Drosophila melanogaster: one gene and its partner. The protein of the gene in region 2 purifies or fractionates together with the protein of the main gene of each other region. This does not show direct contact. Each region holds a gene or a part of one and is shown on either strand. Other genes may lie near its edges. The genes, in order: Tm1 and yuri.

What was found.
Region 1: the proteins of yuri (region 2) and Tm1 purify together in Drosophila melanogaster (affinity purification with western blotting, with the first as the bait; one study listed by BioGRID). This does not show direct contact.

What each region holds. Positions count from the first base shown.
Region 1 is NT_033777.3:15,279,608-15,284,565, reverse strand, and holds the start of Tm1 (tropomyosin 1), read right to left. Parts: upstream 3,017-4,958; 5' UTR 2,963-3,016; exon of another isoform or gene 2,709-2,962; intron 1-2,708. UniProt on the Drosophila melanogaster protein: Tropomyosin, in association with the troponin complex, plays a central role in the calcium dependent regulation of muscle contraction.
Region 2 is NT_033779.5:15,258,226-15,266,456, forward strand, and holds the start of yuri (yuri gagarin), read right to left. Parts: upstream 6,003-8,231; 5' UTR 5,902-6,002; coding exon 5,545-5,901; intron 5,440-5,544; coding exon 5,107-5,439; coding exon of another isoform or gene 5,014-5,106; exon of another isoform or gene 4,942-5,013; intron 4,904-4,941; coding exon 4,745-4,903; intron 4,578-4,744; exon of another isoform or gene 4,402-4,577; coding exon 4,150-4,401; intron 4,080-4,149; coding exon 3,845-4,079; intron 3,788-3,844; coding exon 3,687-3,787; intron 3,616-3,686; coding exon 3,493-3,615; intron 3,413-3,492; coding exon of another isoform or gene 3,236-3,412; exon of another isoform or gene 2,984-3,235; intron 1,519-2,983; exon of another isoform or gene 1,129-1,518; coding exon of another isoform or gene 1,126-1,128; intron 1,067-1,125; coding exon of another isoform or gene 794-1,066; intron 714-793; coding exon 557-713; intron 485-556; coding exon 279-484; intron 217-278; coding exon 1-216. Other genes in the region: Cul3 (cullin 3), read right to left, coding at 8,149-8,231.

The DNA of each region.
Region 1 (4,958 bases), on a different chromosome or scaffold from region 2:
ACCATGGTTAAGTGCAAGCCAATAAAGCAATTAGCAGATTTATGCGATAATCAGCAAGTGCAAGGGGAGTAGTATTCAAGTCCAAACATGGCTTGTGCGAAAGTGAAACTATATGGAAAATGCATTTGCATTTTATGATTAATTTAGCAATTTTATAACTTGTGTATTTACATGAGGATCCTGCAATCTGATTTCTGCACATATATGTATTTAAATTCATAACTTTAAAGCTCCCATCTTATCTGCATGTTATCAAAATAACTGGCAGATCTTTCTTCCATTTCAAGCTACACAGCGAGTTTTTTGCAATAATGGATAGCCATTTTTGGACGAAAGGTGGCAGAGTCAATAAATTATTCGGCCTGGCCAAAACCGAAACAACCAAGGCCCCCTTTTCGATGCCAGTCAGTCGCATTGTTCGAGCTTAGCCAACTGATAAATTGAGAATTTAATATTTCGACGGCGTCTCTTCACGACTTTTATTGTCCGATTCTTTCGCTGATGTTCTGAACTTTGAGAGTGTTTTCTCATCTCGTCACAGTAAATCATTTAAACGAGAATACCTAAAATTGAACCTTATTTTCTGGGATATACTTCGAAACACCGAAAGCAGGGTGTTTATTTATGCAGATCACATCGGATCGCGTGGTGTGGAGCCAAACGAAGCTGGACGAACTGGGTACATTCTCGAATAGAGAGTTCTGTCACCAGCCAAAATTGTGTCAGTAGATTCCAATCTGGGCCAAGAAATTGCTGCATAGATAAAGTCTTCTAAATCTTCGAAAGTAGAATGAGGATTTGAAATGATAGTAAGCTCATTTAATATATTTTTTTAACTAACATATATCATTGCATACTCTTAGGTGCCATATATGTTTACTCAAATCAATTTATATTTACAAATGTGCGCTTTATCTTGGAATTGCATTCTTATCAGTAAAGTGCAGATGCTGTAGCTACCATCCTCGAATTAAAAACCCAAGATGAATCACTCAGCTGCACTGGGCTATTGCCCCTTTTCTCGAGCAGCTCCAGACTTCTGACTCAATGTGAACGCAGCTGGTGGGTTTTTTGGCCCCTCCTTGGTGCCCATTGACACCCCCTTTGCCTTTCCTGGCCAACACGAAACCCACTTGACCAACATTTGTCATGGCTCGAACCGAGTGCAGCCGGCGGCTAATTGACTCGAATTTCGCCGCGTGAAATTTTAATTCTTTATTACGGCTCATCGCTGTCATTTGTTGTGTGGTTCTGCCTTAAACATGCATTTATTTTTAAAAACTCTGTTTACATTCCTGTGCCTGATCCGCCGAAGAGAAGTGGCATTGGAGAAAAAAGCGCCAATCGAATAAAGCCAAAGCCAAAAAAAAAAAACGTTGAATTTTAATGAAAACGCAATCGAGGCAAATTTTTTGTTCGCTTAAAAAACACACAGATATACATATATATATATATATAAATCTGCATGTGTATGGGCCATAAGTCGATTAAGGTGACACATTGAGTTATGTTTGCGTTGATTCAGCACAAAATTCCCATGACATCTTATAACTTTCGGCAATGACATATATATAATCGAAAAATGGGCCTACACCAAAGAGGTTTATGAGTATTAAGATCATCCTTATCAAGAAATGACGTTATCATTAGGAACAAAGTTAATATTTCAGGAAACAAAATGCGTATATGTATAACTCATTTTTTATATCTAACTAACTATGGCCAACTAACAAGCCATCCTTATGAACTGGCACCTCGCAATTCCTACTTTTCTGCCTAGTTTACAAGTTACAGATATTTTCCATCTGTATCCGACCTTATAAGATCTACCTTTCCACACAAAATTTACAAATTATCGCATGGAAAATTCGGAATTTAATCATACAGAATACAGAATTTTCTATTCTTAGAGTACGATATATACACACGTTGGTTCAAATGGGTCTAATGCATATAGATTCTTTAGCCAAATGCCTTGGGCGATACTCTAGCAGCTTTCCTGCTCTCTATTTCACTGTTTAGTATCTGTAGCACACACGGATTGTATCTAAAAATAGGACAGCCGAGGCATCTGTTGAATATCTAGCCTCTCCACGGATATTACTTAATACTAAGCTGAGAGGAAGGGAGCTTTCTGGGAAATTCTTGGCGCATTTCGCCTACGTTCGCTTCAGATTCATTTGGCAGCTAGGGCCAGCGGTCGTGGATCAGATTTCAAAGATACAAAACTGCAAAGTAAATGCGCGTGTTGCCCAGTTACTTGGAAAATAGGCTCAATGAATTCCTAAACATTTTGGATTAAAGAAAATTATAATTCAGGAAACCATTCCATAGCAAGGATAGCTATCTTGAAGTCTATCTCATTGATCTTTATCTTAAGAATGATTCCCTTACTTTCTCATATACAACATGACAATTTTAGTTTCTGAAAGGAGGAAAGAGAGCTCGATAATCCTCCTTTTGCCTTAATTCTTTACTTCTGCCGCTAAAATCTAAGATCGTTCGAAGTTCCCACTGACCATGTTTATATATCTCATGAAATACGTTTAGCTGAAACCCTATATAGCAACTTGCGGTTAGCAGACAAACTTGACAAGGTCCCCAGAATCGTTATTCTTAGTTTTTTTTTCGCGATCTGCAAAGGTGCTTAACCTCTATTTGGGTTTATTTCGATTCTAACTGGGAAAATTTTCAATTTTTTTCAATACTTGCGGATGATTAGGGTTGAGAATTGCACAGCACTTTGGTGGATTTTAAGTTAGATATTGCAGCAACGTTGTGGTTATGTAATTATACTTTTTGGTTCGATCCTTTTTTTTAAATAAGAATCGAATTCTAGCACAGTTAAAATTATTTTTGAAGCACTCGACAAGTATTTTTGTGGAAATATTCAGCGATATCTTTGTATTTTTTTTTGTATAATTTTTTACTGATCAACGATAACGTATTCCTTTTTACTTACAAAACTTTTATTCGGAGTTATCCGCGACTTGAACGGATTGTGATGTTCAACTGAAAATATTTATTCAATATGTTGACGTTCGATGCTCGCCGCTTGGTCGATTTCGAGCGGCTTGCGCTGGTGTGTGTGCGTGTGAGCCGCCGCGCTAGTGCGCCTGTGTGCGTGAGTATCTGTGTGCGAGAGTGCGCACTTTTCGGCCAAAAGCGAGCATATGTTGTTGCTGTCTGCGCCTACTTTGGAACTGCACTTGGCTCTCAATTTACCCCAAGAGCATCGGTAAATTGCTCGGCCGGGGTACAATAGCTTATACACTGCGCGAAATCAACAAAGGGGTGCATTTGTTCTTATTTATATACTCATATTTAATGTAATCATGCATGCTTTCTAATATCAGGACATTTAATATGCACTTTTGATTTAATGTATTTATAAATTTATGTCGCACTTATCATTTATCATCATTTACTCATGCTACTTTTGTTATTACAAATTTGAATTTTGAAATTCATTTATAAATTATATTAAATGTTTTTTTCATTCAGAAAATACTCCAAAGTGAAATGGGCTATGCCAGTTAAGAAAGCTGTACAACATTTCTTTACCCCTCAGCCCGTAATATATTTAATTTATGTTCCTATCCGATTTCTGCCAGTGTAACGGAAAGCATAAGATCAGAATTTCAAATACAGTTACAATTTATACACACACATTCAAGCCCGGCGCCTGCGCTCTCTCTCCGCTTTCTCTCTGCCTCTCTTTTCCGATCCTTTCCTTGGTGCTTTCACCTGTTCGCTGCACATGTATGGGTAATGCTCACTCATTTCGAATCGAATGCCTTTCTTTCAGCCTATTTTTGAATATTTCCCCGTATTTTGAAAAGCTCTTTTCACCCAGTGTTTTTGCCCATTGCAAAATATATCCAATACTTAGGCAATCGTGTCTCTTTTCCCGATGAGAGTGTATTGGTTTGGGGATCGTTTTGTTTTGCTTTTTGATGTTCTCAACTTCTATTTTTAATTTTCAGTTATTGATATGCCAAAAAATCTTGTTTCACGTAGTTATACGTACGTATTTCCCCCATAGGTCTACAGATTATTATTTTCTGCTCTATATATTAAAGCTCTTTCTATAGATTTTTCAACGTCATGTCTGCGAACGGAAAACATTTTGCTGGCAATCATAAATGTCACATATGAAAGTATACGTTTTTTTGTAACTGTCTCGCAAGAAAATGCATCCATGATTCATGCTTTTTTAAATTGCAAACGTGAAAACGGTTGAAATTCAGTTTCCCCATAATCGTTGAGTTTCCGATCTGGTGATATGCATATTTGCCCTTCTAGATTGCTTGCTTACTCGTTGATCACGCCCTTTTAATCTTATCGCCAACAAAATTGTTGGAGATCTTATATGTTCGAATGCAACTAAAGTCTTTAAATATAAACCTATAAATATAAGCCAATTTGATAGCCCCAACATATATACATATATGTATTTACTTATTCCATTTTTTGTTGTTCTCTTATCTTGGAGAACATTTGCCAGTCCGAGGTTGATGAAAATTTTAAAATTAACTCAAACAACACCCACAAAATGACGTAATTGTATTCATTAAAAACAAAAAGTTTTCGAAGCAAGAAAACTAGATCAATATATTTATAAAGACAAAGAAAAAAAAAAACAAAGAAGACATAGACATGGAAAAGACCCTTGAGAAAACGTCGAAAAACATTGTAAAATAGCAAAACAGTCTGAGCAACTTGCTAAATACGAAAACGAAATCATGGCCATCGAATCCGACCCGTTGACATGTGTTAGTTATGGAAAACCAAAGTTTTCATAATTCCAAAATATACGCGAATTAAATAAGTTCATGAGTGTGTAGCACTCAGCTTGGCTCAGACAAGTGCGCAATCTTGTTAGAAAAATCGCGACCATATTTGGCGAAAATAGTATGGAAAAGTTTAATCCGGGCTGAGGGGCATAGACGACTGGG
Region 2 (8,231 bases):
CCGCAGAGATTCAGTTGTCTCGTTCATCCGCTGGATACTTTCGCGATGCCGGATGTCATCCAGCTGCAGATGGCTCTGCATTTTCCGAACAAGAGTGCGCATCTTTTCCATCTCCAACTGGGCACTCTTTTGTTGATCTTGAAGTGCCCGCTCTCGGCCCGAGGACACAGCCTCCTTCTCCTTCAAAGCGACCACCTCCTCTCGCAAGATTTTGCGCTGAAATTCATAATACCTCAGTTTTCTTTGTGCCCAAGGACGACAATAGTCGGATACGCCACCTCTGTTCTCAGCTCATCCTGCAGCTGCTCCACCTGATCCAGTCGCGTTTGCAGGCTCTGCGCTTTCCTCTTGGCGTCCTTGAGCTCCTGGCACTGATCCTCGAAGCTGGCCATCAGGCTTTCGTACTTCGTGCAGAGTTCCACGCTTTGATTTTCTTGGTTTTTCAGCAGGGAAGGGAGGTCTCGCAGTTGGCGGGATAGATCACCTGATAGTATACATATATATATATATATATATAGAAAGAGCTTTTAATTGAAAATTATAAGTTTTCTCTCACAATTCTTCTGTTTGAGGACATGCATCTCTTCTTTGAGCCGATTGTTCTCGCTGAAATCGGAGTAGCTATTGATCATGGACTGCAGCTGGCTAATCTGGTTATCTCGATCCTTTAGATTTTCCTGCAGTCCCTTGATTTGGCAGGAAAGTTGTCCGTTCTGGTGGGGAAAAAAGTGGGCGAGAAATCAGAGAAACGATTAGGAGCAATTTGGTAAATGTGTGCTTTAGTGGATCCAACTTGTATCTCCAGTTCACAGTTGATCCGTGACTGATCGACGAAATGGAGCTCGGGCTCTGGGCAGGATTGGCTGGCTAGTGAGCTCTGCTGCAGCTGCTGCTGCTGCTGCTCCACCTGTTCGGTCAGCTCCTCGAGATCCCTTTTGAACTCATCGATGATGCTGAGGTAATTATCCCGGGTGGCCTGCAGTAGATCCGACTCGGTCTGGCAGTGGAGCAGCGTGTGCTCCAACTGCTGGCGGTGGGGGCAATCGGTGGAGCTGTTGCCTGTGTTCTACAAATTCAAATTGAGTTGTGGCTCACTTGGTTGGTACCGCTATTCTCGAGGCTTACCATGGCCACTCGGAAATCGGTAACTAATTGCCTGCAAATCCGCGCACGAAATCACCTGTCAGTTGTCAATTGTCGATTGCAGATACGCGGATGTACATATCTATGTGTTTAAATCGTTTTCGGTGTCGAATGCCTAGAAATGGAGCCTTCGTGCCGCCGAGCTTGCAAATATATCTCGCAAATATGACCCCCAGACGAATTTTGGCTTCATTACCGTTTCATTTCATTTCAATAATATTGCTATTAAAAGTTTGTCACGAAAATAAAACCAATTCGAAACGTAGGAGGTGGCAAGGTTTCGGGTTTCCGGTTTCAAAGTTTCGCTTCTTTGGCACTTTGGCAACACACAAGTTTGTTGGGTGCTTGAAGGGGTGGGGGGTGAAGGATGGTTGAGTGGGGGGGGGGGGGGTGACTTCCCCTAGTTTTATAGATATTATTATTTGCGCGGCCCGACTGTTTGACACGATTTGAAAATAAAGTTAGTTGCAGCGGGTGGCAGCGAATAGTATTATATCGTCTGTCTATTTCTTGGATACGATAGATATATGGATATTTATGAATGATGAGTGGAGGGGAGTTGGGCGAGCGTGGCTCGGCGCACTTAAAACACTTTTAAAGGCATATTATATTGCAGTGGGTGGGGCGGGGGGTTAGTACTACGAAATTGATAGCTCAGGCTCGGGGAAATGTGAAAATCGATTGGGACGGGGGCAATGAATTCTTATGATTCCTTGTCTGTCATTAAACCCATTAGCGGAGCCCAACAATTCGCTTTTCCATCGGCTCCATTTGCACATTTACGGTTCGCAGCACCAACTTTCTTCACTGCACTTCGCGTCCCTCTTTGCGAAAGCACTCGAAAACAATTTGCACTTTTGGCCAACTTTCTCCTTTCTAATTGCCCGATTTTCCTTTCGTTTTTCGCGCCGAAAAGATAATCAAATCGACGGAGCGCGACTTAGGCGACTAATTACGCCTCGTAAATTGGCTGGCGAGGATTTGGCGCGTTATTCCTGGCGCTTCCTTGATTCGCTTCACGCGACTAAACGGCCAAATCCGCCGACGGATGACAGGATTCTGAAGCGAACTGCTCCCCTGCTGGGGCTTCCTGCCGAGTTGTGTTTGATTTTGCGCCCGACAGTTTCGCCAAAGAGATGATGGCGTGAGGGGTGACGACTTTGTTTATTGTTCACACCTCGGGAATTAGTCATATCTAAATAAACATTTATTTAGGTAATTACTAAATATTTGTATTTGCACTGAGCTCAATTTAAGTTGGTTCGGTATTATGAATTACTTAGTGCATACGATCGAGATCGATGTAAATGGTCGTGGTCCTTGCAGTCACGCGGATCACGAGCAGTCCTAGTCAGTGAAGTCCCAATCCCGGCGGCACTCATCAATATGCATATCACTGCTCGCCGGAATCGCGTGTCGATTGTGGGTAAATAAATAACACGAAACCTATTTCCGATTCGCCAGCTCCACTGGCTGGAGGGCAGAAGGTGCTCCCCCCTCAGGGGCAATTGCAGTTGAACATACAGCCGAGTTTCCACAATAAACACATTGGCGAACGATTTGTATTTGTCGTATGTAGACATTTGCCCGGCGGGATGAGTGAAGTGGATCTCTTTCTTTTGTGTCTGGGCCCAATATATATATATTCATATATATATATATATGGGTAAATAAATCGGGGACTCGAATGGCAACAGTAGTTCTTTTGTCAATCCAGCCAGGATTTACCGAGTATATACTGTACCGAGTATATATGTGAAGGCGAATGTCGTTTACCACATAAGAAGAAAGTTCTATGTGCTGAAACGTAAATCGGAAATGTATTTCAAGCTCATAATTTGGTTGGGATATGAAAGAAACTTTATTTAAAACTAGTTCATTTCATTAAAACTATTCATTTCAGCAATCTGTGATTCTAGTTTCTGTTTAACCATATATAGATAGATATAGATTTGAGTGGAGTTGAGTTTTCGTGGCGAACAATCGCGATGATAAATAACTTAAGAACGACAAACTTTAAGCTAAACTATACAAACTTCTTAACGTGGCTTAGATTAGACTAACTGTTTAGGAGGCCCAACAAGTGACATAGTTACTTGGAGGTCCTAAACGTTGTAGTTGTGTTTTTCGTTGGTATAGTTTTAGTTGTCGTTGGCTTGTTTGAAGGTTTAGGTGTTGGTTGTTGTTTGTTTGTTTTTGCCGTGGCTCCCGGGATTTTGGTGGTTTTGGTTGGCTTCCTTGTTTGGGAAGGTGTTTTCGTATCGCATTCCTGCATTTGATATGACAACCGGGGTTATTGGAATCGGCTATTGGTTATTTGCGATGCAATCAAAGCCGTCAGATACTCACAATTTCCACTTGATTTTGCTCCTGCTCGAATTTCCGTGCAAACATATCCGCAATGGTCGTACAAAATGGATTTTCTTTCGAGGATTCGTCGTAGATTTCGTTGTAGGAGAACTCCTTGGAACCCTGAAATGATGCACATATTTTTAATATGCATTTCCTGCAATCCTGCAGAATAGAGAAGAGTCTTAACTCACCAACGAGCAGATGAGTTCGGCGATCTCCCTTAGAACATCGCTATTTCTTTGAAGAACGCTGCTTTCCGATTCAATCCTCGCCTCCAGCTCTGAAATTTTGACTTTTTGCAAATAGGGAAATAGTTATAGCAAAAGTATCGAGAATCGGATATACCCACTTTTCGACTCGGTGTCCAGGCGCTGGTACTTTCCGTGCAGTTCTCGATTAAGTTGGCTAAGGTTGAGCAGGCGTCTACGTAGAGCTTCCAGCATCTGAGCATCCGCGTCCAGATCACAGGGCCCTGATTCGGGATCAACGGAGATTAGGCAGGATTGATCGAGGTCTGACTGAAGGATTGTCAGATGACTACGAATGCTCTCGAGTTTTTTCAGAGTGTCCTCACGCTCGGATACCTTTGATTAAGAAGGGTGTAATTAATGAGGATATGCTAAAGCTCAGAAATATGTAAGTCGAATCCCTCACCAGTTTTTCGATAAAGCAGGACACACGTTTTCGCCGAATCTCAATGGTCTGGAACTCCTGTTTGTTGTGCAGATCGAGAAGATCATTGAGCTCCGCGTTTAGCAGCCGCAGCATTTCGCTCTCCTGGGTGTCGTGGATCGAGAGATTCTCGAGCATATCGCTTGTAATCGCGTCCGCGGTCAGTGTATCGTTGGGCGATTCCTCCATTTTGGCCTGATCTCTGGACTCAATGCACCGGGTGATCTCGTGCAGCTGTTTTCACGGTATTTGGAATGTTAAAAAAAAGCTAGTTAGAAAGTTTCGATGTGCTTTTTGATTGAATACACTGAAAATTTTACCAAGAAATTCGGTATTTCACTAAAAAGATACTCGATTAGGTTTTCGATTGTACGCTTAAGCAGCCGATTAAGCGATAAGAAAAGTATTCCAATGAATCTATAATTAAACTGAGCTCAATAATGAGTAACGTCACCTGACGACGATGATGTTTTTGTTTTTTGTTTTTAAAACAACGAATTGAATAAATTCCTTCCATAAGCACACAATGCACATATGCAGATTTCTGGTTGAGTAATGCCACAATAGGATATCTCACCTGTTGATTGAGCTGTGCTATGCACTGATCCTTCAAAAGTAACTTCTGCCTGGCCGTGTGTACAACCTCGTCCAAGGCATTGATCTGTGACTTCAGTTCGCCGATCTCGTCATGCTTGGCGGCTATCTCGCCGACTAAGGACTTCATGCTCTCGGACATCTGCGAACAAAGTTAAACGCCAATCAAAGCCAAGCATTAAATATCGATGAACAAAATATCAAATTTTATTAAGAGCAGCACAAAATATACGTATTTAGTTAGCGAGACAATCATTTAGAGTTCTCGCGCTTGTGGGACGACTTCGGGTCCCACTTGACATTGGAATCACCGCCGCCTTTTCCCTTCAAGGATCTATGGCCTACCTTCTCGCTCTCGCATTCCGCGTGGGCGGGATCCTTTCCCACGCCCCGCAATTGATTAACGGTCAGTGTCTCTAGGGAAATGCCATTGAAATCAAAGTCGGTGCAGTGAGGAGAATGCTGCACGCGTTCTATGATCGCACAAATGTCCTCACGCAGCCTACGATTCTCCTCGAGGGTATGCTGTTGTCGCACTTGGACAGACTGACAGCAGGCAACGATCTTGCTGTACGCCTCCTTCTCCAAGTCCGACACGTTGCCCAGGATCACGCTGTTCACGTGGAGCAGGAAATCCACCCACTCCTGAAAAGTGACCAGACGCAACTGGCAAGTGTGCTAAAAGGGTATGAAAATGGGTCATATAAAATAATTTATCTCAAGGGGGATTTTGCTAGGAATTAGTTTCAATGGATACCATCCTTGATTTACAACGAATCTCACCATGTCATCACCCTCGTGCTCATCTAGGCAGTCAATCTCGTCCAGCCGCTTCAGAAATATGCTGTTCAGCTCAAAGCTCATATCGCCAGCATCGCCGTTGGTATCCCGCAGCTTCTGGATCAGACAGCGGTAATGTTCGGTGGACATCGCCTCGGTGCTGGCAGTGCACCGATCAGGAGATGAGGCTTTTAGCGTCGATTCTTGATGTGGATGCGAGGCACTCGTTCCGGTTGGCTGCACTTGCCGACACATTTGACTGGCAGATGATGGTGGTGGCGGTGGCGATGATGCAGGTCTCGACGGATTCAGACCCATGGACTTGGCGTCTAGGACGAAACCGGCTTGGCGACTGGCCATGATATCAATTCAAAATGTAATTACCACGTTCTTCTTACTAAGAGCTGATTTAGTCGGCCAGGGAATAGCTTGTGTAATTAGACATGAGTATGACTTTAAGGTTTCTACATCGAAACGTTCACTTCGAAAGCGGCAATCTCAAGGCACTGCTGATCGGAAAGATCGAATGCAGTTCTCCTCGCCTTCAACTGCACGCAAATCGCAAATCACAAATCACTCACGAAAGTACAAAAATCACAACAAAAAACACTTGTAAAGTTGTAAGCTTATTAAAAACAACACAAAAATGGGCGGAAAAAAAAATAAAAAATAGAGAAAATATATCTGATTCGAACCTTGGCGGCGACGTCAAGAGCAGCTCAGCGCGCTGCGTTCATATCTTTTGTTTGCAGTCTTCTGACGTAGCAATGTAGTTTTGTTTATTTATATTTTTCTTGTTTTTGAGCTACACACACGCGTATTAAGTATACGGTTTCAGCATGTTGTTGTTTTTATTTCTTGCCACGATCCAAATACCGCGCGTTTCGTCTGCGCTCCGTTCGCGATCGCCAACGAAACCGAACTGAGCGCTCCGCTCCACACACTCGCTCCCCACCACCACCGGCCAAGAGCGGCTCTCTAGAGAGTTGAAAAACTCGACGGACTCTCAGCGCTTATCAGTGCGTCGGGGAATCGAATTGGATCGCTGCGTGTGTTTACCCAAGAACTTAGCATTCTGAATTTCTGGCCGGGCTCACGATATACATATGTATGTATGTATCTTACACAATATGCGAAAGTCATCGCTGTTTGCCCAAGTTGCGGTTTCGGGGTTCTGCCAATTTCGTATAATTGTTAACTCATCCGGTGTATATTTGCCCATGGATAAGTTTGTTTGGTCGCATTGATAACTCCGATATGGTCGTTCAACGCGGTTACACAATAGCTGGAAAAAAGCTGCAAAAACCATGAATTTTAAAGATTAAGAACTAAAAAATTTCGAATGATTCAGAGAATGATTATGCCAATCCTTAAGTCTTATTGCCCATCCCAAATTTTACACGATTAGCACAATATGTTGGGCACCAATTGAAAACAGTAGATTTTTTGCAGATTTAAATTGTTACCAAGTTCGTTTTATTGTACAGGCGAATAAAAGCATTTCATTGAAAATATTTTAAAATCCTTTTAAAAGATAGACAACAACTGTGTTAACGCTCATTATACGTTTTATTTATATCGATTTCTCTTTTATGTAAGAACAAAATTTATTTACAGTGTTTAGATCGCGTTTGCTTGCTTCCGTTTTCGTGCTTTCGGTTCGGCGTTAAATTGTTTTTCAAAATCAATTCTATGTGTGTCCTACTTAACTCAAATCCATTACAGAAGTGTTGCCTACATATGCCTGGAATCGATTCCCACATATCAACTAATAGATAAAACAACTTTTTCGTACAGATTATCATAATCACTTCACGTTGCTTTGGGCGTACACAAAAAATGAAGATAGAGGAATATGAATAGTCATTGCAATCCTTACGTTCTGTTCACACGCATCTCAAAACGTGGGATGAATGTTTTTATTTGGATTGAAACAGACGACGTATAAATGTACATCAAACGCTCTCTAAAATTCATAATTCATTTATAAATTTATTACTTTAGCTATATTTATAGTTATTAATATTTTCTTGCTTATATTTCTGTTGTTGCTTCTTTACCTTTTTACTCAGCTGCTTACAATTAGGGGCTGCATTATGCATTATTTCTCTTATCTTGCTTTGCGTACGATTCTTGTGGGTGGATGTGGTGTGTGTGGTTGTGGCTCTGAATGGGGTGGTGGTGGAGCAGGTGTGTATGTGGTTGTTTGGGCTTACTGCTATACACTTGTTATGCGCAAAGAAATGACCATAAACAGTAATTAGAGAATATCAAGAAATATATTAGAGGGATAATAATTATGGTGGTGCCTTATCCAATAGCATTTTTAACTGTTGAATTTTGAATGTCAGGCTTACAAAATGGGTTGCGAAACGAAATTTTACGATTCGGGGCGCACTAATTGATATATTTATGTATTCGGGTTATTGGCTGGCGGTCATCTATAATCGTGGTCAGTATCCGCCATATCAATGCCGCTCGTATGCTCAGGCCATTCCGTCCGAGCTGCAGATTGTGTTTTTCAGTTAGTGTGCAAGCCCTGGCGATTTGAAGATGAGTGTGTTCCGGATCCTGCTTAAGACGCTCCTGCTACTTTTTGTGGGCCGCTTAGGCCAAGTAGTTGTACACTTTGCGATCTTCCGGCGATCGTTGCAGATACTCGCGCTCGATTAGGCCCTCAATGCGCTTTT